Macaca mulatta: one gene and its partners. The protein of the gene in region 1 interacts with the protein of each later gene in a pairwise test. Links are inferred from orthologs where the notes say so. Each region holds a gene or a part of one and is shown in the gene's direction. Other genes may lie near its edges.

What was found.
Region 2: the proteins of NECAB2 (region 1) and KLC4 interact in binary tests that used the Homo sapiens proteins (3 or more experiments, as listed by UniProt). The two-hybrid records come from large-scale screens. The link is inferred for Macaca mulatta from reciprocal best matches to the Homo sapiens genes NECAB2 and KLC4.
Region 3: the proteins of NECAB2 (region 1) and NEK6 interact in binary tests that used the Homo sapiens proteins (3 or more experiments, as listed by UniProt). The link is inferred for Macaca mulatta from reciprocal best matches to the Homo sapiens genes NECAB2 and NEK6.
Region 4: the proteins of NECAB2 (region 1) and NTAQ1 interact in binary tests that used the Homo sapiens proteins (3 or more experiments, as listed by UniProt). The two-hybrid records come from large-scale screens. The link is inferred for Macaca mulatta from reciprocal best matches to the Homo sapiens genes NECAB2 and NTAQ1.
Region 5: the proteins of NECAB2 (region 1) and CCDC146 interact in binary tests that used the Homo sapiens proteins (3 or more experiments, as listed by UniProt). The two-hybrid records come from large-scale screens. The link is inferred for Macaca mulatta from reciprocal best matches to the Homo sapiens genes NECAB2 and CCDC146.
Region 6: the proteins of NECAB2 (region 1) and KANSL1 interact in binary tests that used the Homo sapiens proteins (3 or more experiments, as listed by UniProt). The two-hybrid records come from large-scale screens. The link is inferred for Macaca mulatta from reciprocal best matches to the Homo sapiens genes NECAB2 and KANSL1.
Region 7: the proteins of NECAB2 (region 1) and KPNA2 interact in binary tests that used the Homo sapiens proteins (3 or more experiments, as listed by UniProt). The two-hybrid records come from large-scale screens. The link is inferred for Macaca mulatta from reciprocal best matches to the Homo sapiens genes NECAB2 and KPNA2.

The regions. Positions count from the first base shown.
Region 1 is NC_133425.1:79,364,322-79,367,078, forward strand, and holds the end of NECAB2 (N-terminal EF-hand calcium-binding protein 2), read left to right. Parts: intron 1-370; coding exon 371-448; intron 449-1,294; coding exon 1,295-1,386; intron 1,387-1,800; coding exon 1,801-1,829; 3' UTR 1,830-2,257; downstream 2,258-2,757. UniProt on the Homo sapiens protein: May act as a signaling scaffold protein that senses intracellular calcium.
Region 2 is NC_133409.1:139,056,935-139,060,403, reverse strand, and holds part of KLC4 (kinesin light chain 4), read left to right. Parts: intron 1-1,628; coding exon 1,629-1,730; intron 1,731-1,969; coding exon 1,970-2,143; intron 2,144-2,530; coding exon 2,531-2,630; intron 2,631-2,822; coding exon 2,823-2,875; intron 2,876-3,107; coding exon 3,108-3,178; intron 3,179-3,399; coding exon 3,400-3,469.
Region 3 is NC_133420.1:23,495,493-23,499,631, reverse strand, and holds the start of NEK6 (serine/threonine-protein kinase Nek6), read left to right. Parts: upstream 1-1,339; 5' UTR 1,340-1,461; coding exon 1,462-1,534; intron 1,535-4,139. UniProt on the Homo sapiens protein: Protein kinase which plays an important role in mitotic cell cycle progression. Required for chromosome segregation at metaphase-anaphase transition, robust mitotic spindle formation and cytokinesis.
Region 4 is NC_133413.1:133,845,073-133,848,572, forward strand, and holds part of NTAQ1 (protein N-terminal glutamine amidohydrolase), read left to right. Parts: intron 1-2,087; coding exon 2,088-2,187; intron 2,188-3,500. UniProt on the Homo sapiens protein: Mediates the side-chain deamidation of N-terminal glutamine residues to glutamate, an important step in N-end rule pathway of protein degradation.
Region 5 is NC_133408.1:142,434,930-142,438,982, reverse strand, and holds the start of CCDC146 (coiled-coil domain-containing protein 146), read left to right. Parts: upstream 1-1,253; 5' UTR 1,254-1,354; intron 1,355-4,053. Other genes in the region: protein FAM185A, read right to left, coding at 297-747. UniProt on the Homo sapiens protein: Essential for sperm flagellum biogenesis and male fertility.
Region 6 is NC_133421.1:71,124,842-71,128,866, reverse strand, and holds the start of KANSL1 (KAT8 regulatory NSL complex subunit 1), read left to right. Parts: upstream 1-1,225; 5' UTR 1,226-1,258; intron 1,259-1,609; exon of another isoform or gene 1,610-2,035; intron 2,036-2,786; 5' UTR 2,787-2,897; coding exon of another isoform or gene 2,898-2,920; intron 2,921-4,025. UniProt on the Homo sapiens protein: Non-catalytic component of the NSL histone acetyltransferase complex, a multiprotein complex that mediates histone H4 acetylation at 'Lys-5'- and 'Lys-8' (H4K5ac and H4K8ac) at transcription start sites and promotes transcription initiation.
Region 7 is NC_133421.1:77,786,212-77,790,433, forward strand, and holds the start of KPNA2 (importin subunit alpha-1), read left to right. Parts: upstream 1-1,422; 5' UTR 1,423-1,526; intron 1,527-2,804; 5' UTR 2,805-2,827; coding exon 2,828-2,902; intron 2,903-3,051; coding exon 3,052-3,189; intron 3,190-4,222.

The DNA.
Region 1 (2,757 bases):
GGAGTTCAAGACCAGCGTGGGGACCATAGCAAGACCCCAGCTCTACTAGGACATTTTTTGAATTAGCCAGGCCAAGTGGTGCACACCTATAGTCCCAGCTACTTGGGAGGCTGAAGTGATTGTGCCACTGCACTCCAGCCTGGGCAACAGAGTGAGACCCTGTCTCAAAAGAAAAACTACATGTCATTGACAAATAGCTATTGGCCACTATAAGAAACCAGGCCTTGTTCCAGGTGGTGGGGGCACCCTGTTGAGTCTCGCTGGAGGACCAGAAAGGTTGAAGGCAGCGGTTGTGTATAGGGGTGGGCTACAGGACTAGGGTGGCCACGGTTGAGCCCCAGCCTCCCTGCCTGTCTGTCTCCTGTTGCAGCATCACTGCCGTGAGGCTCTCGGATGGCTTCACCTTTGTCATCTATGAGTTCTGGGAGACGGAGGAGGCATGGAAGAGGTGAGACACTGGGTCTCCATAGCAGGTGTGGGGGCTGTCTTCCTGGAGCCAGGAGCTCCTGGTGGGTAGAGAGACCCCCCACCACGCTCTTTCCCTGTAGAGCACCTTGTGGGCCAAGGCACTGCCTTCTTTATCACCCTGTAGAGCTGAGGACCTGACCTAGAAGGTACCTCAGTCCCCATGTGATCAGTTGTTCCAGCGCTTAACCTCCCCCCCAGCTGAGTGCCTTGTAGGAGGGAGGGAGATGGGGTAGGGTGTCATCAGCTCTGATGGGCTTTAGGCCTTTGTCGTCTGCTCCAAGCACATCTGGGACAGGTTGTTCCCCACTCTGGGCGGAGCCTAATTTCTGATGCGCCAGACCCCACAGGCAGGAAGCAGGGCCTGGGGGTAGCTCATGCCCCGATATCCTGCTTCCCCGGTAAACACAGTTTGCAGAGAAACTCAGGACCCCTGTGGGAACAGGGGCTGTCATGAGAAGTGAGGGTGTCCCCTGCCTGTCCGTACTTCAGTGACTCATAAAATGAGGGACTAAAACCCTTCACAGCTGCTGTGTTGTCATCCGTCCCAGGCGGAGGATGGCCCCACTCCTCCTCCTAGGGTAAAACAGGAGGTCGATGCTCTGTGCACTGAGTAGGGGGATGCCACTGCCCATGTAAGGCTCAGTGCCTACCCCAGAGTCAGCCTCCCTAGGCACCCCCTCACCTTCCCACAAAGGCTTGGAGTCCAAAGACCCCCCCCCCCGGGCTTATTTATAAGCTCCCCATTTTGGGCAGAGCTAGGATTAACAGGGGATCCACATGCCAAGCTCCACTCCTGGTGCCCCTAACACATCTCCCTGGATCGCAGGCACCTGCAAAGTCCCGTGTGTAAGGCGTTCCGGCACGTCAAGGTGGACACACTGAGCCAGCCTGAGGCCCTCTCCAGGATCTCGGTGCCAGGTAGGGGGCGAAGGCCTGGAACTGCAGTGGCCACTTGATTGGAGAGCCGGGCAAGAGCCTAGAAGCCACCCCGCCTCTCCCAGGGACTTGCCTGCAAGCTCCTGACCCCAATGCCAGGTGTGCAGGGAGGGTCCTAGGGGGAGAGGAGAGCTCCAGGCTCAGAGCCAGCCCTGAGGTGGCCCCACATCCAGGCATGCCGGCCGGAGCTTGCACCAGAGCACCCCTTCCACAGCCCGCTACTTCTAGCCAGACTGAATTTCCCTTCCCAGGTGTGTGGTTTGCTCCTGGGTGACCAGCAAGCACCCGTGGGTCACATAAGGACTCAAAGCCATCTCCCCACCTGCCCTTCAAGACGGCCCCCACCAGCTACCCACATTCGCACTCCTTCCCTCTAACCTGTCTCTGTCCTTCTAGCTGTTTGGTGCACGGTGGGACGGGACTGACAGCCTCCCAGAGGCCCGCGGAGGAGCCCACCCCTGGCCCCTTCTGCTTGTGAAGGACATCCCCTGTGTTCTAGAAACTGGTGCAGAGGCTGTCTTTTCAACCCGTCTTCCACACGGTGTTTCCCTGCTGTGACGTGAAGGAGGCCTCCCCTGCCCCCACCCGAGAAGGCAGAGCAGTCTCTGTGCTGCCCGGTCCTGGTGAAGCCCAAGGTTGTGGGTGAAGGGGGCGGCTTCCTGGGGCCAGCACCCCCACCTCCTGGTCCTGGCCTCTCCCCGACCCCTCAGACGGCCACGCATGACCCGCACTCACCACGCCCTGCCCTCTTCAGTGACATTCTTCTACCTGGTAGGAGTTAGGACCCTGTAGTGCCCAACCTAGCCAGGCCGCCGCCACTGGGCCCAGGCGCCGAATAAACCCTGGTTGGGAAGGGCTGTGTGCTCTGTGTCTGTTCCTGGTTGACAGCAGCAGGGGCCTGGGCACCCTGCAAGTGCCCCCAGCCTCCGTTTTCTGAACCATAAAATGGAGGTGTTCACTCTATGCGGTATTTTGACACATAGGCTCATGCCTATTCAGGAGCCCAGAGGGCACCACCCCCACCCTCAGGTCAGTAATTCACTCAGAGGACTGGGCGCAACTGTCAAAGTCAAGGTGGATGACAGACAAAATCCAGCAAAGAAAGAGGCTCCCGGAACAGGGGCCAGGCAGGGGCTGCCAGTAAAGGCCACAGACATCACTGAACCCTCCCAGCTTCAACAGACAGAGCATCACCAACCAGGGATGCAGTCCCAAGTCTTACTGGGGTTCGGTGACATAGACACGGCTGACACCTTGTGGCTCAAGCCCCCACCATAAGTCACATGGTTGGCACAGACCACGCAGTGTGGCCCAACTAAGACACTCACCAGGCACGATGCTCCAGGGACGGGC
Region 2 (3,469 bases), on another chromosome or scaffold:
TGAACCTAGGAGGCTGAGGTTGCAGTGAGCCAAGATCATGCCACTGCACTTCAGCCTGGGTGATGGGGCGAGACTTTCTCTCAAAATAAATAAATAAATAAATAAGTACAAATAAATAAAAGGAAAGAGAGAAACAACCTTAAGTAGGGATATCAGCCGGGCGCAGTGGCTCATGCCTATAATCCCAGCACTTTGGGAGGCCGAGTTGGGCGGATCACAGGGTCAGGAGATCGAGACCATCCTAGCTAACATGGTGAAACCCTGTCTCTACCAAAAATGCAAAAAATTAGCCAGATGTGGCGGCGTGTGCCTGTAGTCCCAACCACTCGGGAGGCTGAGGCAAGAGAATGGCGTGAACCCGGGAGGCGGAGCTTGCAGTGAGCCGAGATTGCACCACTGCACTCCAGCCTGGGCGACAGAGCAAGACTCTGTCTCCAAAAAAATAAAAAAGAAGGAAAAAAAAAAGGTAGGGATATCACACCAAAGCAAATGATAGAGTTGTCAATGTACAGAAAATGAAAAATGAAAAGTTTTTTTTGTTTTGTTTTTTGAGACAGAGTCTCATGGTATCACCCAGCCTAGAGTGCAGTGGTACAATCTCGGTTCACTGCAACCTCTGCCTCCCAGGCTCAAGTGAACCTCCTGCCTTAGCCTCCCAAGTAGCTAGGATTACAGGTGCATGCTACTGTAATTTTTGTATTTTAGTAGAGATGGGTTTTCACCATGTTGGCCAGGCTGCTCGTGAACTCCTGACCTCAAGTGATCCACCTACCTCGGCCTTCCAAAGTTCTGGGATTACAGGTGTGAGCCACCGCACCCAGCTGAAAAGTTATTTATTTTTTGTTGAGATGGAATTTCACTCTTGTTGCCAGGTTAGGGTGCAACATGGCATGATCTTGGCTTACTACAACCTCTACCTCCCGGGTTCAAGCAATTCTCCTGCCTCAGCCTCCCAAGTAGCTGAGATTACAGATATGTGCTACCACGCCTGGCTAATTTTGTATTTTTAGTAGAGAGAGGGTTTCTCCATGTTGGTCAGGCTGGTCTTGAACTCCTGACCTCAGGTGATCTGCCCTCCTCTGCCTCCCAAAGTGCTGAGATTACAGGCATGAGCCGCTGCGTCCGGCCAAAAAGTTATTTTTGAACGTGATCTGTGTGAAAATAATTCCCTATGGTATGACATATGATAGGCAGGGATGATGTATCTCAGAAATCATCCTCCTGTCTTGATATCCCATCAAATATCAATGCTTACATTTAGTGTTTGGATGTCCGGCAGGACATTCAAAAGTTGGCAGAGCTGTCTCACACATGCAGAACATCTATAGCGTTCTTGCCTCCTCAAAGGTAATCATCATGGCAACTAAAAAAAAGGAAAAAAAACAACAAAAAAAAACCACCTCCAGAAATTTCTTAAAATCCCCTAGAGGGCGATACTATCCCTTAGCCTCAGAGCCATCCTGTTGAGCGGTTTCCCCTCCCTTCAGCCCCTGGCTCCAGGGTAGTAGAGTCTTTGTCTCTTAGAGTTGTGCAGTGATTGTGGGGCCCTGCTGGGAGGTGGGGAACCTCAGATTCCCATAGGTCATTTGCAACCCAAATGTCTGATGGGGACCGGCCTGTCTTCATAGGTGGCTGCCACACTCAACAATTTGGCTGTGCTCTATGGCAAAAGGGGCAAATACAAGGAGGCAGAGCCTCTGTGCCAGCGGGCACTGGAGATTCGAGAAAAGGTACCCATGCCCTCTCTCCCTTCTTCCCTTGTTGCTGTTACCCTTCTCTACATGGCTTCTCTGGTCTAACACTCCTCTTTCACTTTTTTTTTTCTCACCCCCATCTCTGCCTTGTTCTCTCTTCCTTCATTCCCGTTCCTCTGCTTTCCACATGTGTGTGCCTACATGCAAGCAGACACGTGTGCTTGTGCACACACATGTAATCATAGCCATTTATCCACTCCTTTGTTCCCTTTCAGGTCCTGGGCACTAATCACCCAGATGTGGCAAAGCAGCTGAACAACCTGGCCCTCTTGTGCCAAAACCAGGGCAAGTATGAGGCGGTGGAACGCTACTACCAGCGAGCACTGGCCATCTACGAGGGGCAGCTGGGGCCAGACAACCCTAATGTAGCCCGGACCAAGAACAACCTGGTATGGGAGGAGGGGACAAAGTAGGTGGAATGAACGGGAAGGAGAGGCCACCTGGGTCCTAGAGTTAGGAAGCATCACAATCTGGCACACTACTCTCATCAAGTTTGTGCCCATTTCTGGGGCTGCCTTTGCGGATGAAGGATTTGCTTCGTTCTGGTTATAGAAGCTCCACAGCTTCTTGAGAGTGGGCTGGGAATACCCTTGACCCTGCACCTGGAGAAGGAGGTGTGAGAAAGATCTCTGGGGAAAGTCACAGAGACACCGAGAAGTGGAACTCCCTGAGCCTGGTGAAGACGTTGTCTGGAAAAAAAAAAGAAAAAAAGAAAAAAAAAAGACCTTGCCTCCCTCCATGTTTTGTTCCTGTATTTTTGCCTTTCTGTCTTCTAGGCTTCCTGTTACCTGAAACAGGGCAAATATGCTGAGGCTGAGACACTATACAAAGAGATCCTGACCCGTGCCCATGTGCAGGAGTTTGGGTCTGTGGATGGTGAGTGGTGAGGGCTTGGGGAAGGGGCTGTGGGAAAGAAAAGAAATGCAGACCAAAGGTCGGGGGTTAGGCCACAGTGGTTCCCAGGGGGAGCCAGACCCCTTCAGTCCAGCCTGTCAGCCTCTGGGTCCTGGCTCTCCGACACTGTCTAGCTCCGATCTCTAACCTCCCCACCCCGTGTATCACCCCCAGATGACCACAAGCCCATCTGGATGCATGCAGAGGAGCGGGAGGAAATGAGCAAAGTGAGTGGGGGGAAGGGGGGCCAGCCTGGGGAGCTCAAGGCTACCAGGGTCTCTGTCTTACTCCTTCCATTAGCCCAACTCACACTTCCCACCCCAGCACCAGCCCCAGATGCATGGTGTCCTCCCCAGCCCAGCCTGCACCCTAGCCCCATGCCACCGTGCATCCCAGCATCTCTGTATTCTTATCTTTGGCTCTCCCTGCCCTTCTCTCTGGCCTCTCTCTGTCCTGCAGAGCCGGCACCATGAGGGTGGCACACCCTATGCTGAGTATGGAGGCTGGTACAAGGCCTGCAAAGTGAGCAGGTGAGCTGCCAGTGAAAAGCCAGCTTGGCCTCTGATGCCCTCCATCCAGGCTCCCGGCCTCCCAGACCTTTTCCCTTCCTCCCGTAGACTTTCCCTGAGCTTTAGCTCTGTTCCCTCTCCTATTTTCTTATTTTTTTTTTCCTCTTGTCTTGCTTGGAAGACAAATGTTTTCTTTTCTGAACCCATTCTCTCTTCCTTCTCTGGTCTGTTTCTCACCACAGCCCCACCGTGAACACTACTCTGAGAAACCTGGGAGCTCTGTATAGGCGCCAGGGAAAGCTGGAGGCTGCT
Region 3 (4,139 bases), on another chromosome or scaffold:
ACCAGCCTGACCAACATGGAGAAACCCCATCTCTACTAAAAATAGAAAATTAGCCGGACGTGGTGGTGGGCGCCTGTAATCCCAACTACTCAGGAGGCTGAGGCAGGAGAATCACTTGAACCTGGGAGGCGGAGGTTGCGGTTAGCCAAGATCATGCCGCTGCACGCCAGCCTGGGCAACAAGAGCAAAACTCTATCTCAAATAAATAAACAAACAGCAAGAACAGTTATGCTATTCAGCATCTTGCTGGGCCCCGGTGTGGATAGGTGGGGAGCGAGCACAAGGACCAAAGGAAAGGACCCTTATCCCTCCCTGAGCCCACACTGGTCTAATCGGGTGGCACTGCCATCCGATTCCAGTCCCTGGTGAGCAGGGGGCTCCGTGGTGGCTGTGACAAGTTACATTCGCCTTGGAGGTGGCAGCCGGAGCTATTTTTAGAGCAGTGCGTGGTGGGGGAGTTTCCTTTTGGCGGTGTCTGGGGACTGGAGTCTTGGGAAGGGGAAATCCCATGCGGAGACAGAGGCCCTTCTTCCTGCACCCAGCCCAGCCCAGAGAGGCCACCCGGCTCCCTGGAGGCACCGGCACCTCATGTCCGTCCTCAACCCAGAGCTGAGCAGACCTTCCCTGGAGCTTTTCAGGAGCCACTTCAGAAGGTACCCAGACTTTCTCTGCCTCCTGCTATGGGAGCCGCTTGCTCTCAGGGGTGTGTCCAATGATGGATGGGGAACCAGGCCCTAGGGACCTCCAGGGCTGGGGCTCCAAGTACCTCGACCTGGCTGCACCTCTGCCACCCACCACTGCCCATTTGGCCAGTCCCACCAGCCTGGCAGGACCTTTGCCACTAGCCTGGGACCGGGTGGCTGCTGATGGCTGGTTTTACGTTCAGTAATCCCCGCGCTTGGCCAGAACTTCTGAGTTTCCAGGGAAGCAGAAAAAGCAAGTTTTCTTTCTCCAGGGTGGGTTTTGTCTGCCCCTTCCTGCCTGTAGGAAGGAGACAAAATTAGGGGAGACCAGGGGCTTGAAAGCTTTCCCTGCATGGAGGCCACTGGATGGGGAACACCAAAGCCCTCCAGCCCCGGGGCTGTTCCGCTTGGTCCTCCTTCCACTTGGTCCTCCTTCCACTGTCGGTCAGCAGGGTATAGCTGCGGTTTGAGACAGGAGTCTCTGCTTTGAAATTCATCCCTTCCCTTAAGCCCTAGGCTCTCCCCAGGGGCCCGCCCTGGCATGAGTTGGCCTGGGGGGCCAGGCTTCTCCCTCCTGGCCTCAGGTGTTTCTGTACTAAGTCAGCAGCCCCTTACCCAGCCTCTCCTCTGCCACCTGCTGGGGCTGTTCAGTCTCTACCCCCAAGGAAATTTCCATGTTCAAGTAGAGAAGACACAAGGATTAGACAGAGACAGCACGGGTGAGCAGGCTGTGGAGCTGGGAGTGACTGAGTGAGTCCAGGAAGGCTGCCTGGATGAGATGCCCAGGAGAGAAGTTTGCTGGGAGGCAGCTCATTCCAGGCAGGAGGAGCAGAGCCTGCCAAGACCTGGAGGTGAGAGCAAGATCATTTCCCCAATCAGGCAGGGGTCTCTGGGATGAAGGACCTGCTAGCGGGCCTGGGACTCCTAGAGTGAGACCACAGCTTTCCCCAGCTGCATTGTGATCTCCAAAGGATCACCTTAGGCAAACGATTCAAATGCAGACTTTGGAGAGGGTTGGATCTGAGTTCAGAAACGGGCCATGCTGCTTCTCAGCTGCATGAGCTTGACAAGCCATTTAACTTCCCTGCACCTCAGTTTCTTCATCTGTGAAAGTGGAGGGCTTGCAGACCTCACAGCAGGGATATGCTGAGCTGCTGCCTGCAGTTCCCGACACAGAGGAAGCACTCAACAGATCTCAGCTTCGTCTTCAGGGAGGCTGGGAGCGAACCCAGCCTTGACTAAGTCCCAGAGTCAAGAACCTTCTGGGCAGAAGCCAAAATGCCTTGTTGCTCTTTTAACTGAGAGACAAGATGTTTACAGCTCCTGCATTTTCTTCTTCCACAATTGGGTTTTATTACCCGAGGAGGAAGTGAAAGGTGATTGCAATGCTCCTCGATTTTCAAAAAGGCGCTGGGAACCCTGCAGTGTGTGGCCCAGTTGGTTTTGAATCGCCGGTGACTTTTGGCTGATCTGTGACCACAGGGATGCCGAGCCTTCAGCAGAGGTTTCTTGGGGTTGCAGGAGGGTGGGAAGAGCAGGAGGATGGGAAGAGCCCCCTCCACCTACTGGTCAGAGATTCATTCCGCCGACCCCCCCTGGGTGCCCACTTTTTACCAGGCCCTGGGTGAGGCACTGGAGGTTTAGAGATGACCACAAAGGTCAGTCCCTGCCCTTAAAGGCTGGCCGAGGAGGCAGACATGGTGACAAAGGAAGCGGTTTGTGCCCGTAACAGCCCACCTTTAGGGAGAAACCTGTGTAGATACCACCAGATGGGAAAGGGAAGAAGGGGCCTGAGTGCCCCCTGGATGCCCAGTGTGTACTCACAGAGTCCTCGCAGCCTCCCTGCCAGTTCGGGCTGTTCCTCTTTGTGGATGGGGACGTTTAAGGCTCAGGGAGGGGACGGGACTTCCCCAAGGTCCCATAAGAAGTGCCAAGACTATGGCCGGGCGTGGTGGCTCATGCCTGTAATCCCAGCACTTTGAGAGGCCAAGGTAGGAGGATCACCTGAGGTAAGGAGTTCGAGACCAGCCTGACCACCATGGTGAAACCCCGTCTCTACTAAAAATACAAAAATTAGCTGGGCGTGGTGGTGTGCGCTTGTAATCTCAGCTACTCGGGAGCCTGACTAGTGTGTTAGGTCCTCCCTGCCAGCCAGTCTGCCTGGGTGTGGTCGTCCTTCCAGCCCCTGGGCTTGCGCTGAGTTTCTTTCTGCAATTGCTTGCTCTGGCTACTCTGAGAAGCAGGTTCAAATGACAGGAGAATCGCTTGAACCCAGGAGGCGGAGGTTGCAGTGAGCAGAGATCGCACCATTGCACTCCAGCCTGGGTGACAGAGCAAGACTCCATCTCAAAAAAAAAAGAAAAAAGGAGTGCTGAGATGAAGGAGGGCCCAGAGACCCGGTCCTGGCAGATGAGTGGGACTTTGCCCATTGAGAAGCACCAGTGGGTCTTTAGTCCAGGGCTGGTGCATGGAATGACGTGGAAGCGCCAGGTGCTGTGTCGCTGGGGAGGGGGGCCGGTCATTTAATATGGCTGCATATAGGGCCTGGCGGATATTGGGGGCAAATGCATGAGGGCAGGCTTGTGCCAGGTGGTCAGGGAATGGCTTCCTCCAGTGTGCGGACCTTGTGCTGTGGAGTTTCGGGAGAGATCTGCAGGTTCAGGCTTGTGTGTTAGGAAAACCTTTCCATGGCGGGCTGGAGGTTGGGCTGGAGGGGAGTTGGAGGCTGAAGGTGACTGTAGGGACAAGGCCAGCACAGGGTAGAGGCCCCGGGGTGAGTGAAGACATTTGGAGGAACAATGGGTGGGACTGGATGAAGACCAGGGTGGGTCCTGGAAGCTACAGCGGCCCTGTTTCTGGGTAGGCACCACGTGGCCCCCAATCAGCTGGCCTCCTGATCCTGCAGGCCCACCCTGGGGGAGGCCCCGCCACCCTGAGGAAGGGGGCAGCGGGGAACCTGTCTGCATGGCCACCTTCCAGGAGTGGCTCATGGTCCTGCGTCCCTGCACCGTAGAGAAGCCAGGCTTCCGCTGGTCATGGAGCTACAGAATCGGGGTGGGATGAATGGCGTTGCGGGTGGAGGGCTGAGGCGAGCGTGAAGGAACACAGGACCCAGCCGGAAACCAGACACCATCTGTGGCTTGTCCCCTCCAGCTCGACAGGCCCCCATGACTCTGGCCTGAGATCAGGCTGCTTCCTGTCAAGTGATGAATGGGCAACGTCTGCTTATCCTGAGACCAGACAAGAAGGGGGGCCGGGGCTGGGGAAGGGCCCAGCCGCCAGCGCCACAGCTCTGGGCCAGAATTCATTCATTCAGGCATTTATTCACACCCTCTTCCAAGGCAGTTCGGACCAAGGCAGACTTGGTTTCGAGTGTCAGTTCTGCCTGCCGCCTGCTGTGTGACCTGGCACCCGCCACTTAACCTGTCTGAACTTTGGTTTCTCCTCTGAACAATG
Region 4 (3,500 bases), on another chromosome or scaffold:
TCAGGTGATCCACCTGCCTCGGCCTCCCAAAATGCTGGGATTACAGGTGTGAGCCCTCACTCCCGGCCCAAAGCCTAATTTCATCCATGCCATGCTACCTAAAAATGAAGCAAGGCATAAACAGCCCTGAGGATGGTCACCATCTTATGGAAGTAGACACTCTTTCAGTTCATCAATCTTTGCCTTACCTGTCTCAATGCTCCATAAGACTAGGCTTAAAATATGGCAGTTGGACATATTTTTCTCCCATGGTTTTCTTTTTCTCTAAAATAAATAGGAAACCACAAGGGAAAAGTGATGGTTGTGGTTAAAAAAAAAAAAAAGTTGGAGAGAGGGAGATTGCTACTGATACTGACTACTTCATATGATATGTACTATAGATTAATAAAAATTTACTGATTGGGCCGGGCATGGTGGCTCACCCCCGTAATCCCAGCACTTTGGGAGGCTGAGGCGTGTGGATCACCTGAGGTCAGGAGTTTGAGACCAGTCTGGCCAACATGGTGAAACGCTGTCTCTATTAAAAATACAAAAATTAGCCAGGCGTGGTGGTGGACGCCTGTAATCCCAGCTGCTTGGGAGGCTGAGGCAGGAGAATCACTTGAACCCAGGAGGTGGAGGTTATAGTGAGCCGAGATTGTGTCACTGCACTCCAGCCTGGGTGACAGAGCGAGACAACCTTTAAAAAAAAAAAAAAATTACTGACTGTTTCAGCATCACATATGGCATATATATAGTAGATAAAATTTCCTTATTCTAAATGTTCTAAGGCCAGGTTTGAAGAAGACACTTATCTGTCTAGCTTATAGAAGTTTTTGGGGAGTTTACCGCAAATATCTTCAAGAGCCTATAATGTACAAAATACTGTGCTAAGTGCTTGGAGGATATGATGATAAATTAGAGCTTATAGACCATGAGCAGAGACATACAAATCCATAAATGGCAGGCATCATAGAAGGCCATAAAAGATGCATGCAGAAAAGAAGAGGGAGTCATTAATTTGGAGGGATATGGGAAGAGGTATAGGTTGTAGTTTCTCTTTGTTCATTCCCCTGTAAGGGTGGGCTTAGAGTTAATACAAAGGGGCCAGGCAAGATGGTTCACGCCTGTAATCCAGGCACTTTGGGAGGCCGAGGCAGGCAGATCACCTGAGGTCAGGAGTTTAAGACCTCTGGTCACCTGAGGTCGGGAGTTCAAGACCAGCCTGGCCAACATGATGAACCCCTGTCTTTATTAGAAATACAAAAATTAGCTAGGCATGGTGGCACAAGCCTGTAATCCCAGCTACTTGGGAGGTTGAGGCATGAGAATCGCTTGAGCCCGGGAGGCAGAGGTTGCAGTGAGCTGAGATCGCACCACTGCACTCCAGCCTGGGTGACACAGTGAGACTTCATCTAAAAAAAACGCATAAAAATAAAAACACAAAATTAGCCAGGCATAGGAGCATGCACCTATAATCCCAGTTACTCAGGAGGCTGAGGCAATCTTGGCTCACTGCAACTTCTGCCTCCCAGGTTCAAGCAATTCTTCTGCCTCAGCCTCCCAAGTAGCTGGGATTATAGGCACCCACCACCACACCTGGCTAATTTTAGTATTTTTAGTAGAGACGGGGTTTCACCATATTGGTCAGGCTGGTCTCTTGGCCAGGCTGGTCTTGAACTCCTGACCTCGTGATCCGCCCGCCTTGGCCTCCCAAAGTGCTGGGATTACCGGCCCGAGCCACCCTGCCCGTCCTCCGTCAAAGGTTCTTACCTTGTAAGTGACTGAGTTAGAATTTCAGCTGTATCTCAAGTTGCTGGGCCCAAAACTCATAGAATATTGACATTTTATCAGTTATAAAATGCCTCCATGTACAAGCACTGCTGGGGAAGGTAATCACCTCTATGTGGAGAGGGGTTTACACACAGTATAGGTTGAATACCAGCTTGTTGGGATGTTTTAGAGGAGATTCAAACGTTAGCTAGTTGTTGGATGGCATGGTGTTTAAGGTCTTTTCCAACTTTTTGATGCCATCATCAGTATTTTGTTCAAATTTAAAAGACACATAGATGTTCTCTAATCTTGATTAAACAATTATTTTATTTCAGTGAAGAAAATATTTGGAAGCTCTGTGAATACATCAAAAACCATGACCAGTATCCTTTGCAAGAATGTTATGCTGTCTTCATATCTAATGAGAGGAAGATGGTAAGTTGGTGAGTGAGTGCAGGAAGAAAACGAGATTTAACATGACATTAGAAGCTAAATTAAATTTAAAAAAAGAAGCAAAATATAGCATGGGTGTAGTACTCTTCTGAAGTGTGCTTTATAAAATACAGCAACATTTAAAAGTTTTCTTTTGAATGAGATTTTTTTCCTTACAAGGCATGATTGAGTTAGATGAGTTGAGTCCCTTCTGTTGCCCAGGCTGGAGTGCAATGGTGCAATTCTTGGCTTACTGCAACCTCCACCTCCCGGGTTCATCTCCTTCCTCAGCTTCCTGAGTAGCTGGGACGTACAGGCATGTGCCACCACGCCAGGCTAATTTTTGTATTTTTTAGTAGAGCTGGGGTTTTGCTATGTTGGCCAGGCTGTTCTCGAACTCCTGGCCTCAAGTGATCCTTCCGCCTTGTTCCCACAAAGTGCTGGGAGTACAGGCGTGAGCCACCATGCCCAGTTTAGTCCCTTATTTTAGGTAAGGAAATTTGTGATGGTCTACACAGATTAAGTCCCTTTTCTTTAGGCATTAATGTAGACCTGGTTTTTTTTTTGTTGTTGTTGTTGTTTGTCTTTTATTTTCTTTTTTGATACGGAGTCTCGCTCTATCGCCCAGGCTACAGCACAATGGCACGATCTCGGCTCACTGCAACCTCTGTCTACCAGGTTCAAGGGATTCTTGTGCCTCAGGCTCCCGAGTAGCTGGGACTACAGGTGCCCACCACCATGCCTGGCTAATTTTGTATTTTCAGTAGAGACAGGCTTTCTCCACGTTGGCCAGTCTGGTCTCCGACTCCTGACCTCAGGTGACCTGCCTGCCTTGGCCTCCCAAAGTGCTGGGATTACAGGCGTGAGCCACTGTGCCTGGCCATTTTTTTTTTCTTTTTTTAAATTCAAGATGGAAGATGTAGACTTTTAAAAAATTGCTTAGATATGCATACTCTCAGTTTTAAAATAAGGATTTGTCTCTGGAGTTTAAATAGAACTACAGTCAACTTATATGAGGAATTAGAAAAAGGAAGCCCTTCGTATTTTGTAAAACACGTTTGCAGGCATCATCTCATTTGATCCCAATGGAAGCCCTGTGAAGGCAGGCAAGGTTTGGACAACTTGCTTCATTTTATAGATGAGAAAATTAAGACTTAGGGTGGCCCTATGAATAATTAAATGGGAAAGCAAGACTTGATACCTGCAAGGACTTCTGATTCCTAGTTCAGATCCCTTTTCACTCTCTGAAGACCATCATACAATAACTTGTGCTCTTGAGAGCTTTCATTCTTGGGGATACTTAGAAGGATTTAGAT
Region 5 (4,053 bases), on another chromosome or scaffold:
GGGATAAAGGAGAACACAAGCGGCTCCAGAAATATAATTTGACCTGGATTATACCAAATCATGTTTCCATTCGATGTATAAAATTTCTATAACAAATTTTTAGTTAGGCAACCTAATTTTTAAATACTACTCGGATACTCAAGAATAGAACAGAGGAAAAGGTGCATTTCCGAAGGTGCCAACTGTAAATTAGGTTTAGAAAGCCAGGACCAATTAAAAGTGCAAGTCGACCAAATTTAGTAAGTTCACTGTGCGTGCCCTGGGACCCAAACCCGTTTTCACTTCATTTCACTTGCCAAACTTCAGGGGCGCGTTCACCTCCACGAACGCCTGGGGGTCGATAGTGTCAGACAAAATGGCCATCTCCTCCAGAGCCTCGTCGTACTTCACCTGCAGGCCGTCCAGGCCCCGCGCGCTGCCCTCCACGCCACACACCGCGACCAGCACGCGGTCGCCATCCGGGTAGGTGAGGGGGTCCAAGGGCCTCACGGCCAGGTGGCACGGGAGCCGCGCCCGCAGCCGACCGAACGGGCTCACCTGCAGCGTCCACTCCTTTAGAGTCCGGCGCGCCGGGCCAGGCGGAGGGACCTCAGCCTCCGATCCGGGCCAGGGCTTGCCCCGACCTGAGCCGTACGGCCTGGCTTGGCAAGCCCAGGAAGCCCAGCGCCCAGTGCCAGCCCACAATCGGACCTGACGGAGACAGAGACGGAGGCAGCCAAGCTCCCAACCTGAGCAGGGGGCAAGCATGGCGCGCCCCTCTCTCCAGTCCTTAGAACACTTCAGCTACAGGGAGGGTCACTTGCCACGGCCAATCGACTTGGCCACTATGCCGCCTCAAGTCAAATAGGAGACGTCTGTCAGGGTTTGCTGAAGCAAGAGGGAGCCGGTTCGCTTGACTAGGCAATTTAAACATCAGCCACGCAAGCCCCAGAGGCAAGTTGCAATTTGAAAGCTCTAAACTCTGACCCGGACTCCTAGCCTACGCCCGCCCCTTTCGCTAAGGCGGACGGGATAGGTAGTTGTAAAGGGGTGGAACATCGCAGAGCTCTGGCATCTTAGAAACCACATATCCCAGGAGGCAATGCGCAGGGGAGCCCGGGTAAAAGGGCATGTGTTAGACTCCCTGGGAAAGGCGGGCGCCCTTTGCCTCAAGACCATTGGCTATTGGAGGGGCGGTACATAGGAGTCCAACTGGCCAATGGAAAGCACGAAAGGGGCAACGTGGGTAAAGCTGCGCGGTCACCTTGGATACCAAGGACGCGACTTCTTGTTTGGCGAGGGTGGAGCTTCGAAGTGAGACCCAGGAGGCCAAATCCCAAAAAGCCTAAAATAAGGATCAGGACCAAGGGAAGGGGTAAGAAACTGCGCTTTTTAAGATGACAACTAGGTGCAAACTAGGAGTAACCTCTGTGGGTGTCAAGACCCATGCTTCACTAACCTAGTGCAGGCGTCTCCAGGGGATAGAGAATGCCTTGGCAAGAGAGTAAAGAGCCTTTACTCTTGGTGCTTTTTGAGGGAATTGCCTCTTTGGAAGTGTATTCCCTCCTATATTTCAAATATAGGAATAGAGTACTGGCTCCTTCCTGACCCTAAGTGACCTTACTCTTTGGGTTTTAATTTGCTCACTTTAAAAATGAAGATAATAATACTTGCCTTGCCTTGCCTCAAAGGGTTTTTGTAAGGATCAAGTAAGAAAATGGATGGGAACGTGGTGCACAGTCTACAAAATTACCGTGTAAAGTACTGCATTTTTATTTCAACGTACTTAACATTGATTCTGAGTTACCAAGAAAATTATGAGAGATCAGAACTTGTTTTGAGAATAGCATTGATCTCTTTGACTACAAATGATCCTCAGTTTTAGAGTGTTTAAAAACAAAACAAAAAAAAGACACAAAAAAGGGAGTTACCATGGTGCGGTGGAAAGAACAGGGACAAGGGTCAGATTATTTTCCTGGCTCTGCCACTGCTTCATCTGTGTCACCTAGACCTGTTTCTTTAGTTTTAAAATGAAGAAAGATGGTTCTCAATGACCCTACAAGGGGTGTGTGTGTGTGTGTGTGTGTGTGTGTGTGTGTGTGTGTGTGTGTTTACCTTGTATAATTCTATGGGAAGTAAAGTAATGGGAACAGAAAGACTTATTTTCTTCTTTCCTGCCTGGTTTCTCTCTCCCCTTCTGTGCCGCTACTTCCTCCTAAAATTTATTCCCTAAATTATTTAGCCAAGACACCTGCAAACACTAACGTTTCATAAAATGCAAGTGCCTTAAAAAATTGAAGCTCTTGCCCAAGTACAATGACTAGAATTCCTGGGGCAATCGTGATAGACAGACTGGGCTAACGCCCTCCTGGGTACAAGTCTAAGGTACTCTGCCAGCCACTATCTTTTTAAAAATTCAGTGTTTTCTTAAGTTATGATTGCCTCTTTTCTGTCTTTCTAGTCCTTCTTCCCTCCTCATTCCTCCTTCAGTGAGGACTGACTCATTATAGGTGCTAGCTCAGGTTCAGCAAGGGCCCACTGCAATAGTTCTATTCTTGCCTTTGTGTTTCATTGGTTATAATTATTCAAAATAATCTTCAAACTATTTTTTAGTGAAAACTGACAGGTGTAACTTTGAAAAGAAATTTGAAAAAGGCACTGGTTTAAGGAAGTTGAGAATGTACTCAAATTTTCTGTAGAGGCACTAGACATTTTTAGATTAAATATTAATTCTTAATAGATAATTCTGTTTATATAGTAATTTTTCCTTTTCTGAGACAAACTAAGTTAATGGAATTGGCAACTGAACTATAATTTTCTATGTAGCATAATCATTATTTTACTTTTTCAAAAAACAAATAGAATTGATTGAAAATTGACTTTTCTGATCACATGAGGTTGAAAATGGAGAAAATTATTATTAAGATTGATATAAAATATTTAAAGTTATGGACATTTAAAAACAGTATAATGAGTATCAAATCTGTCCACATATAAACAGTGATTAATAAAAGTTATATCTTCCATCTATATGACATAGTTGTCAAACCATGTTCACATGCATCATCTCACTGCATCCTCGCTAATTAAGTGGGAAATTATTCTCCTCATACTATAGATGAGGAAACAGATTCAGAAACATTAAGATTAAGCAATTAGAAGATCTGGCCCTTTTATCACTCTACCAAAATGTCCTTCTATTTTCCTGACACCTTTGAAGAAAAAATGAAATTATTCACCTCATAAGTAGAAAATTATATACAACTTTTTTCTCCTTATTTAGAGTTTGTTTCTAAGATATTTTCACATCTTAGTTTTAAAAAGTCATTTCTGTGGTCATGAACATATACTTCTGGTAGGAGTGTTAAGTTAGTACAAAATTTTTAGAGTTCAATTCAGCAATAAGCATGAAAAACTTTTTCCATGACTCAGAAATTGTACTTTTGGGGATGTAAGCATAAAATTAGGGATACTCAAGAAATTACATTTTATAGGGTTACTTGTAAAAGAAAATAATTGCATCAATTTAAATGCTCCCTGGCCAGGTGCAGTGGCTCATACCTGTAATTTCAGCACTTTGGGAGGCTGAGATGGGTGGATCACCTGAGGTCAGGAGTTCGAGACCAGCCTGGCCAACATGGTGAAACTCTGTCTCTACTAAAAATTTAAAAAATTTGCTGGGCATGGTGACGGATGCCTGTAATCCCGGCTACTCAGGAGACTGAGACAGGAGAATTGCTTGAACGCAGGAGGTGGAGGTTGCAGTGAGCCACGATCACACCACTGCACTCCAACCTGGGCAGCAAGAGTGAAACTGTCTCAAAAAAAAAAAGTTAAATGCTCCCAAATAAGAGAGTATTACATGAATTATTATATATCTGATATATTATGCAACAATTTAAACATTATATCTTGATATGGGAAATATTCCATATATAAAGTGACAAGAATCGATACAAAATTGCATGTACAGTATGATCCCAATTGTGTAATAATAATAATAAATTTAACATAGAATTATACTTTACAGAAACAATTCCAGAGGGATATATACTACTTGATAACAGTGGTTAT
Region 6 (4,025 bases), on another chromosome or scaffold:
TTTCACCATGCTGCCCAGGCTGGTCTGGAACTCCTGACCTCAGGTGATCCACCTGCCTTGGCCTCCCAAAGTGCTGTGATTACAAACATGAGCCACCGCGCCCGTCCTCTCTCATAGTTTTATTGTTCTATTTTCCACAGACCCTTCCTTCCTTAATTTTCATGCCTCTTTAATATTCTGTTTCTTTTACCTCACTGACCTTCTTTTTCGTTCTCCTACCTTTTACCGTGGGTGTCTTATTACCCTGCTTAGGGAGTTTAGCATGTCACAGACCACTATCTTCAGGCAGAGGACCCCACATAGTCTCTAGTCCTGATTGTCTACCCTCTCTCAAGTTCTGTAACTTCAGTTGCCTCTAGGACACCTTCACTGGGTTTTACAAAACCCTGTTACCTGGAACTGAATATATTAAAAGCTAAGATTCCTCCCCAAATCTGCATGTTGTGCCAATTTTCCTGGCCAACTATCTTATCTGTCCCCTGGTTTTGGGACCTTATTTAAACCTTTAAATCAATTTTTAAAAAATTGGAATCTTGATGAATGGTGCAAAAATCAATGGATACAAAGGATACGCCGAGATATGTAAGTCTTCCGCCCACTGGTTCCCTAGGCACTCAGTTCCCCTCCCAGGAGGTAACCACTGTTGCCAGCTCTTAAGAGTGATTTTTGATTCCTTCTTCTGCCGGCTCTATCTCAAGTCCTTCCCTGTCTGTGAGATGTGTGCCCTTTCCTTTCCAGGCCCTAGTGAACTGATATCTGGTTGAATTTATATATAAATATTTATATGTGTATATTTTCTATACATATATAACATCTCTCCCTATGGCCTTCCGGCCTGGAGTTTTCATCACGTCGCTTCCTGGATGAAGGAACCTCGAGGGGTGAGGGGCAGGGGTTGGGGGTGATGGAGAAGAGAACCTAAAGGGGACTTAGGTAGGGGGTTCAGAGTGGCCAACTGGCGTGACGCTCTGGCAGGATTCCTATTCCTATTCCTCCCACCTCAGGCCCGCTTCTAGTCCTCTCATCCAAAAGCCTCTCGTTTCCAAGGGCCGAGACAGAGACAGAGACAGCGAGATACACAGAGACAGAGACGCCGAGGCACCAGCATCCCTCTCCCCCTTCGGTCCCGCCCCATCTCTCTGACGGACACTATCGCTCAGCCAATGGCGCTCACGATATGCCCCTGAAGGGCCAATGAACGCCAGAGGAGGGCGGAAGATTCCCCGCCCCCACTTCTAGGCTTGGTTGAACCGTGCAGGTAGGTCCGGGGCTGGGGGAGCTGTCTTTGGCACTGGTGCCCCTGGGGGTGGGGGCACGAGTGGACAGGGGTGATGGTGAGGTAGAGGCGGCGGCCCCGACACGACGAGCTCGAGGGAGCGGCCCGGCTGGGAGGCGGGGGGCGGCGGGGCCCGGGGAGCGGGCGCCGCCGAGGGCCCTGGAAGCGGCGGGGCTCGGGGAGGGACGCGTGTGTGGGGCACGGGGACCCCCGCCCAGCGCCCACTCGTAGGCCTGGGCCGCAGGCTGCCGACCGAGTGGCCGGGGGGCCTGGCTGCCCCGGGGGCGGGCCGGGGCCGCGGCCGGGGGCGCGGAGCGGAGCTCGGGGCGCCAGGCCGAGCCGAGGTGGGACGGACCGACGCGGAGAGGAAGGGAAGCCGCATCCCGCGGGCCGCCCCTCCTGAAGCGAGCCGGGCAACGGCCGCGGGCGCCCCTGCCCTGAGCCCACCCCGCGCTCTCCCCTCCCTAACAATGGGAATGGGGCAGAAGGAGGCGCCCCACTGCGGAGGGGTGAGGGGTAGGTTTGGGACTGGGGTCCGCGGTGGGGGGAGGTGCGATCTCGGGCTCTCGCCTCTCCGCTCCCTCTGGCTCTGGAGTTGGGGGCCCTGGTGGGGCTTTGAAGCCTGCCTGAGACTTGGGTCAGGAGTCAAACTGCCGCCCCCCGCTCCTCCCCCAAAATCCGGTGAGCGGTAAGGAAAGTGATGCCAAGTCTTCGAAGCCTCAGTGACAAACGCATAGCAAGAACACATCCACTCCAGAGGTGTTTATTTTTTATTTTTATTTAAATAAGGGTACTTTTCGACATTTGTTTTTAACGAAGTGGGTGCTGTTATTTTTGTCCCTACGCGGGCAAGCCTCCATTTTAAGCGAAGCAGTAACTGGTTAAGCTGGAATTGTATTCAGGCCCAGGACTTGAACGAGGATCCTACTAGAGGTCATTTAGTCCATCCTCCAGCCTCCAGGCAAATTTACCTTCCTCCTACCCTCAAAATTAAGTTGCTCGGTCTGCTTTTAACGATCTCTGGGGAAGAAGGGTATTTTATTTGTTTCTAGTACTTCAGTCAAGAATAGGTTTTACTTTTCATGTGGAATTGACTCTGAAACTTAAGCATAATCTTGGGACAGTCGGGATGATTAGAGAGGTTTTACTTTACTAAATATAATTAAATGTAGCAAGGGTCTTTTTTTAGATGGTTAGTTAACAAATCACGTTTAGTGTTTATGAGGTACCCTGGAAACTTTATTCTCTCTGGGATTTTGGCTGTTTGATAAGCAATTTTACATTATCTAAAGTAAGTGTTACATATTTATTTCTCTTTTTATATAACGTATGTTTCTACACATATGTACGGAGACACACACACATTTGCCGTTTTCTAAAGGGGACTGTATTTTCTATACTTTTTTAGTGCGATGAGGCAAATAGTACTTCAAAATCCCTGCCCATGTAGCTTAAACTATTTGCATTTTCTTGATTATTTTTTAGTCTAAATGAAAATCCTCTCTTTCAGATACCTTATCGAAACAAAAGATTTTCCTACCTGCTCATACTTGGTAACCGAGGGAATTACTAAGACTTCTTGCTCATTTCTGAGTATTGTCTTTATATCCTGACACTATGAATGCTATTTGGATGCCTCTTAAGGTAAGATGTGTTATTTTTTCATTACCAGCCTCATTTTATTCATTTTTCTTTAGAACTTTGTAATGCTTGTAATTCTTGAATTTGCTATTCTTCAGTTCCTTTACCTGCCATTTCTCTTGCCTCTTGTGTTTGCTTCCTAGGATTGATTGGCTGTACCTTACTTTGCATTGCTACTGTTCTTTGATTATCGGTGTGAACGTTTTAATGAAGTTCTCAAATTAACTTCCATTATAATGAAAGGCAGTGATCTTTTTAACTTTAAATTATGGCAACTTACATAGTTATAAAATTCTGTTCCAATTTTAGGATAGGTTGGCAATTCAGACATCTAGGTCCACTTTTCAAACAGGTACTTTAGAGTCATAGGTACTAGGGTGTGTCCCACTCTTGCAAATCAGTAGCTGATTCATGTGTTACAAAAGATGTGTCATTAACCATTTGTTTACTCTGAAACTGCATATAGTATATTAGAACATTCTAAGACCTGCTGGTTTACACGTATGACTTTTTCAGAGTCCTCCTGCTGCACCCCAGTCCTTTGCGTGACATTTCACACTGTTTTTCTCAACAGGTAGCACTTATGCCAAGTTTATTTCACAGGGTAAACCTCATTTGGACAGTGTGGACAGATGACCTTTAGATGAAAAAGCTCCCATTGATGTGGTGGTTCTCCAGTCTCTTTGGCTTCTCTCATCTTTTATACATAGATGGCCAAAGAACCCTCCATTAGGACTAGGCAAAGGGCAGAGCTTAAGACTGAAATGGGTGGCTTCTTTGATTTTCTTGTGACTAAAAATACATTTAAAAAAATTAAATATTTTTAAATTTTACAAACAAAAACCAAAAAAGACATAAGGAGGGTATGGGAGGAAGGACAGAGAAGGATAAGCAGTCTTGGAAACCCTCCACCAGCTTCGCCTTCCTTCAGAGTTGGATACTAGCTTAGTTAAGATTGTTGTGTGCTAATCTGTTCTGTAGACTTCCAGATTAATGCAGAGGAGAAATCGGACAATAATGCAGTCTGCGTAACCTAAATATCTGGACTTGTGGGAAATCTTAGGTCATGTAGACTGAGTTCTCATCTTCATTTACGTTTCAGCTGCTA
Region 7 (4,222 bases), on another chromosome or scaffold:
ACCAGTAAACAAAAGGCACGGGCTGTCCAACTGGATGAATTTAGGTCATGTGCCTGCCCCTGAACCATTCTCAGTAGCTGAGAGAATGCCTCACAGTGATTGGTTTAGGGGTGAATTCCTTCCACATTCTTGCATTTAGGGGGATGGGATTATGCTGATTAAGAGTAGGTGCAACCCTTTATGAACTCTGGCTGCTATACAATGAATGAGGCTGGCATTAATGACTGCAAGAATGGACAAATTTGGTGTTTGAATTTATTTATAGTAAGAAATAAACCATGACAACTTTTCTAAAATGTAATCTTTTAGAACACAAAAAAATTGCAGAAACAAAAATGGCCCATAATCCTGATGCTCTGTTGACCATCTTTGTTTTGTTTCTTCGTTTGAGCATATGGCAAAAAATGCAAAATTCAGAAATGTGTAACGAGCATAGAATGTTACTGGAACAATTGACAAAACTTGAACACAGACTACATACTAAACAACAGCATGAAATTTCAGTTTTTCTGAATTTGACGACTGCAGTGTGGTTATGTAAGAGAATGTCTTTTCTTAGGAGATACACCGTGAAACAGAGGAAAAAGGACATGATTCTGAAACTCTCAAATGTTTCAAAAAGTAACATATTGAAATCACACATAGGTACACATGTGCATAGGTATACATATATATGTATAGAGACAGCAGTAGCAAATGTGTTAACATTTGGCAAATCTGGATAAGGATTTGCAATTCTGCTGCATTTGAAATTATTTAAAAATACAAAACTTGAGTGTTTGGAGAAACAGGAATAAGAAATATTTTGTTACTATATTTGCGGCTTCTATACAGTCTTTTACGACGCAATTGAAAAAAAAAACTAAACTAAAAAATATAACATAAATCTTCCCTCCCATAGTGGCCAGAAACCCCTGCCAAGTTCTTCGGATATCGTAACAGGAAAAAAATGCAAAGCAATATGTCTTTCTATAAAGATTACTTATTTACTAATTATCATTTTTTAATTTTCATGAAGATCAACAACAAAGTTTTTTTAAAATAATGACTTTGAGAATCATTTTGCGGTATTTGTTTAAGGCTCTCGCCCAGGAAAACGCCCAGGGACCATGCGCGCTTCAACCCAGTGGAAACACGAAAGGCCCAGGGACCGCCCCTTCGCGTTGCTTGACGGGATCTGGAGTCCTCCCGCTCCGCCCTGCCAGGCGCTCGGGAACCGCCCGTCTGCTCCCTCATCTCGCGATGCCATCCTCCTTTTTTTTTTTTTTTCCCCCCTCCCACTCGCCCCTAAGCCCTATGACTCCCTCCCCTCTCAACGTGTTTTTCAAATCCACCAATGGGCACACAGCTTGGGCTCGAACCAGCCAATCGGAATGCGGAGTCACCGGGAAATTTAAATCGCGCCGGCCGGCTGCACGAGCCACACGGTCTTTGAGCTGAGTCGAGGTGGACCCTTTGAGCGCAGCCGTCCCACAGCCGCTGATTCCCCGCATCGCCTCCCGTGGAAGCCCGGGCCCGCTTCTCAGGTACAGACTCAGGCGGCGGCTCGGCCCGAGCGCTAACGGTTTGCCCGCGGGCGGCGTTCGCCTTTGGGTGGGGGGAAGGAGGCCCCGGGTCCACGCCGAGCCTGGCTCAGCCTCCCGCGTTGTCTAGGCCTCGGGGGCGACTGGTTCATTGACCAGGCGGCTGAGTTTCGCGGGGTCTGCGGGTTTAGGGCGCCGACGCTCTTCAAACGGCAGCGGAGACCATAACGCGTCGCGGCCGGGAGAATCGGAGCGAGCCAGGCCTGAGGGCGAATGTCCCGGGAGGGCTCGTGGCGGCCCTGGCCTCGCTTCCCCCTTTCTTGTTGCATCTTCCCCGACGTAGGGGCAGGGGCAGGGGCTGGGGGTGGCAGTTGGGAGCACTGTCTCTGACACTTTGGCCCCGGGGTGGCTGTGCCACCAAGTCGTAGGCGAGCGTAATGAAAGCAAAGATAGCAAATTGTAAGGAGGGCTTTGACTTTTGTCGTCTTCTGAATGACGCACAGCTGATGTCGTCCTAATTAAGTGCATTCGCTCCTAGTCTCTGGAAATGCAAATCAAATATGCGACATGCGGCACTGCATTTTTAATGTTGACCATAATGTAATGATGAAGCAAATTTTTTTTAGTTTTCGAATCTGCACCTATTTTGGCCAAGTAAAGACAGTAAAGTAGTGCGAGCCTCCTGAGAATCTGAATTTATTGCCCTGGCACATAATTTTTAGCTGTAAGTTAACTTGGTTCCCCTGCTTTGCCTTGGATTAACTATTAGGGACTCTGGAGTATCGAGCCAGGCTGTCAGAAACGGTGGACACACGTGGCTAGTCCAAATTGAAATACGCTGTAAGCTTAAAGTACACAAAAGACTTCAAAGATAGAGTATGGAAAAAGAATGTAAAAGATGTCAGTTATTTTATATATTGAAATATATATGTTGAAATACTATTTGGATATGTTGGGTTAAGTAAAATAAATTATTGAAATTAGTTTCACTTGTTTCTTTTCGCCTTTTAAAAAGTATGGCTACTAGGAAGTTTCAATTTATATAGCTTGCATTCTATTTCTGATGGACAGCCCTCTCCAGGAAGTCTCAGCGCTTCAGAGGGAAGGGGGACAGTTCCCGTTTGGGTAAAGCTATTTCATAGTGCTGAAAGCATGATGATCCCCCCTCTAGTATACAGGTGTGGATTCAGTAGATGCTTGATAATTCAATTCTTATTTGGTACTATTATTGACAAAGGAAAATGATAAAGGAAATATTTTTTCTCCTCGCCCATCTTTTAGCTTTCTCCCTTTGTCTCATAACCATGTCCACCAATGAGAATGCTAATACACCAGCTGCCCGTCTTCACAGATTCAAGAACAAGGGAAAAGACAGTACAGTGAGTACCTTCTGTTGCTTTCCTGTGGTGGTGTTTAAATGGGAGGACATTTGGAAAGGGGTGAAAACTTAGGGATCTTTTTAAAAATACCCTCACTTAGCAACAAAAACTGATGTGATAGGTGAAACGGCATGTTATCTTTTCTCAAGGAAATGAGGCGTCGCAGAATAGAGGTCAATGTGGAGCTGAGGAAAGCTAAGAAGGATGACCAGATGCTGAAGAGGAGAAACGTAAGCTCATTTCCTGATGATGCTACTTCTCCGCTGCAGGAAAACCGCAACAACCAGGTAAAAAATGTATTTTGGTTTATGAGTTACGTGAAATCCAGAAAATCAGTAGGAACTTTTCTTAGAAATTCAAGTAAACTTAACATTTTTAGCCTTAGGTTGTAACTATCTGTGAAGATCTTTTTCTCTGTTCCCAATTAGTAATTGTCTTCTTTCCTGCCTTCCATAATCCACTGAAGCTGATTTAGGATCTTCCTTTAGCTCTGACCTTCCTTCAGACTTCCCTGCATTTCTAGCTGCTAACTGGGTACCTTGACCTGACCACTGTGTCCAGAGCCAACCAGTTTCTGGTTTATTCTTTTTTTTTTTTTTTTCCCTAGACGGGGTCTTGCTTTGTTGCTCAGGCTGGAGTGCAGTGGCACAATCTTGGCTCACAGCAACCTCTGCCTCCTGGGTTCAAGCAATTCTCCTGCCACAGCCTCCTGAGTAGCTGGGATTACGGGCACGCACCACCATGCTTGACTAGTTTTTGTATTTTTGTTTTGTTTTGTTTTTTTGAGTTTCCCTCTGTCGCCCAGGCTGGAGTACAGTGGTGTGATCTCAGCTCACTGCAAGCTCTACCTCCCAGGTTCACGCCATTCTCTTGCCTCAGCCTCCCAAGTAGCTGGGACTACAGGCACCTACCACCCTGCCCAGCTAATTTTTTTCTATTTTTAGTAGAGACGGGGTTTCATCATGTTAGCCAGGAAGGTCTCTGATCTCCTGACCTCGTGATCCACCCGCCTCGGCCTCCCAAAGTGCTGGGATCACAGGTGTGAGCCACTGCCCGGTCTGTTTTTGTATTTTTAGTAGAGGCAGAATTTCACCATGTTGGCCATGCTAGTCTTGAACTCCTGACCTCGTGATATGCCTGCCTTGGCCTCCCAAAGTGCTGGGATTACAGGCGTGAGCCACCAGGCCCTGCCCGTTTTTGGTTTATTTCTGCCTTTTTTGGTATTCTCTCTTTTTTTGTATTTGTCACCAGCTTTGTTCAGGACTTTCCTTCTGAAATATTTACGGTAGCCTCCTAAGTTATCATTTCCTCCTTTCTGTG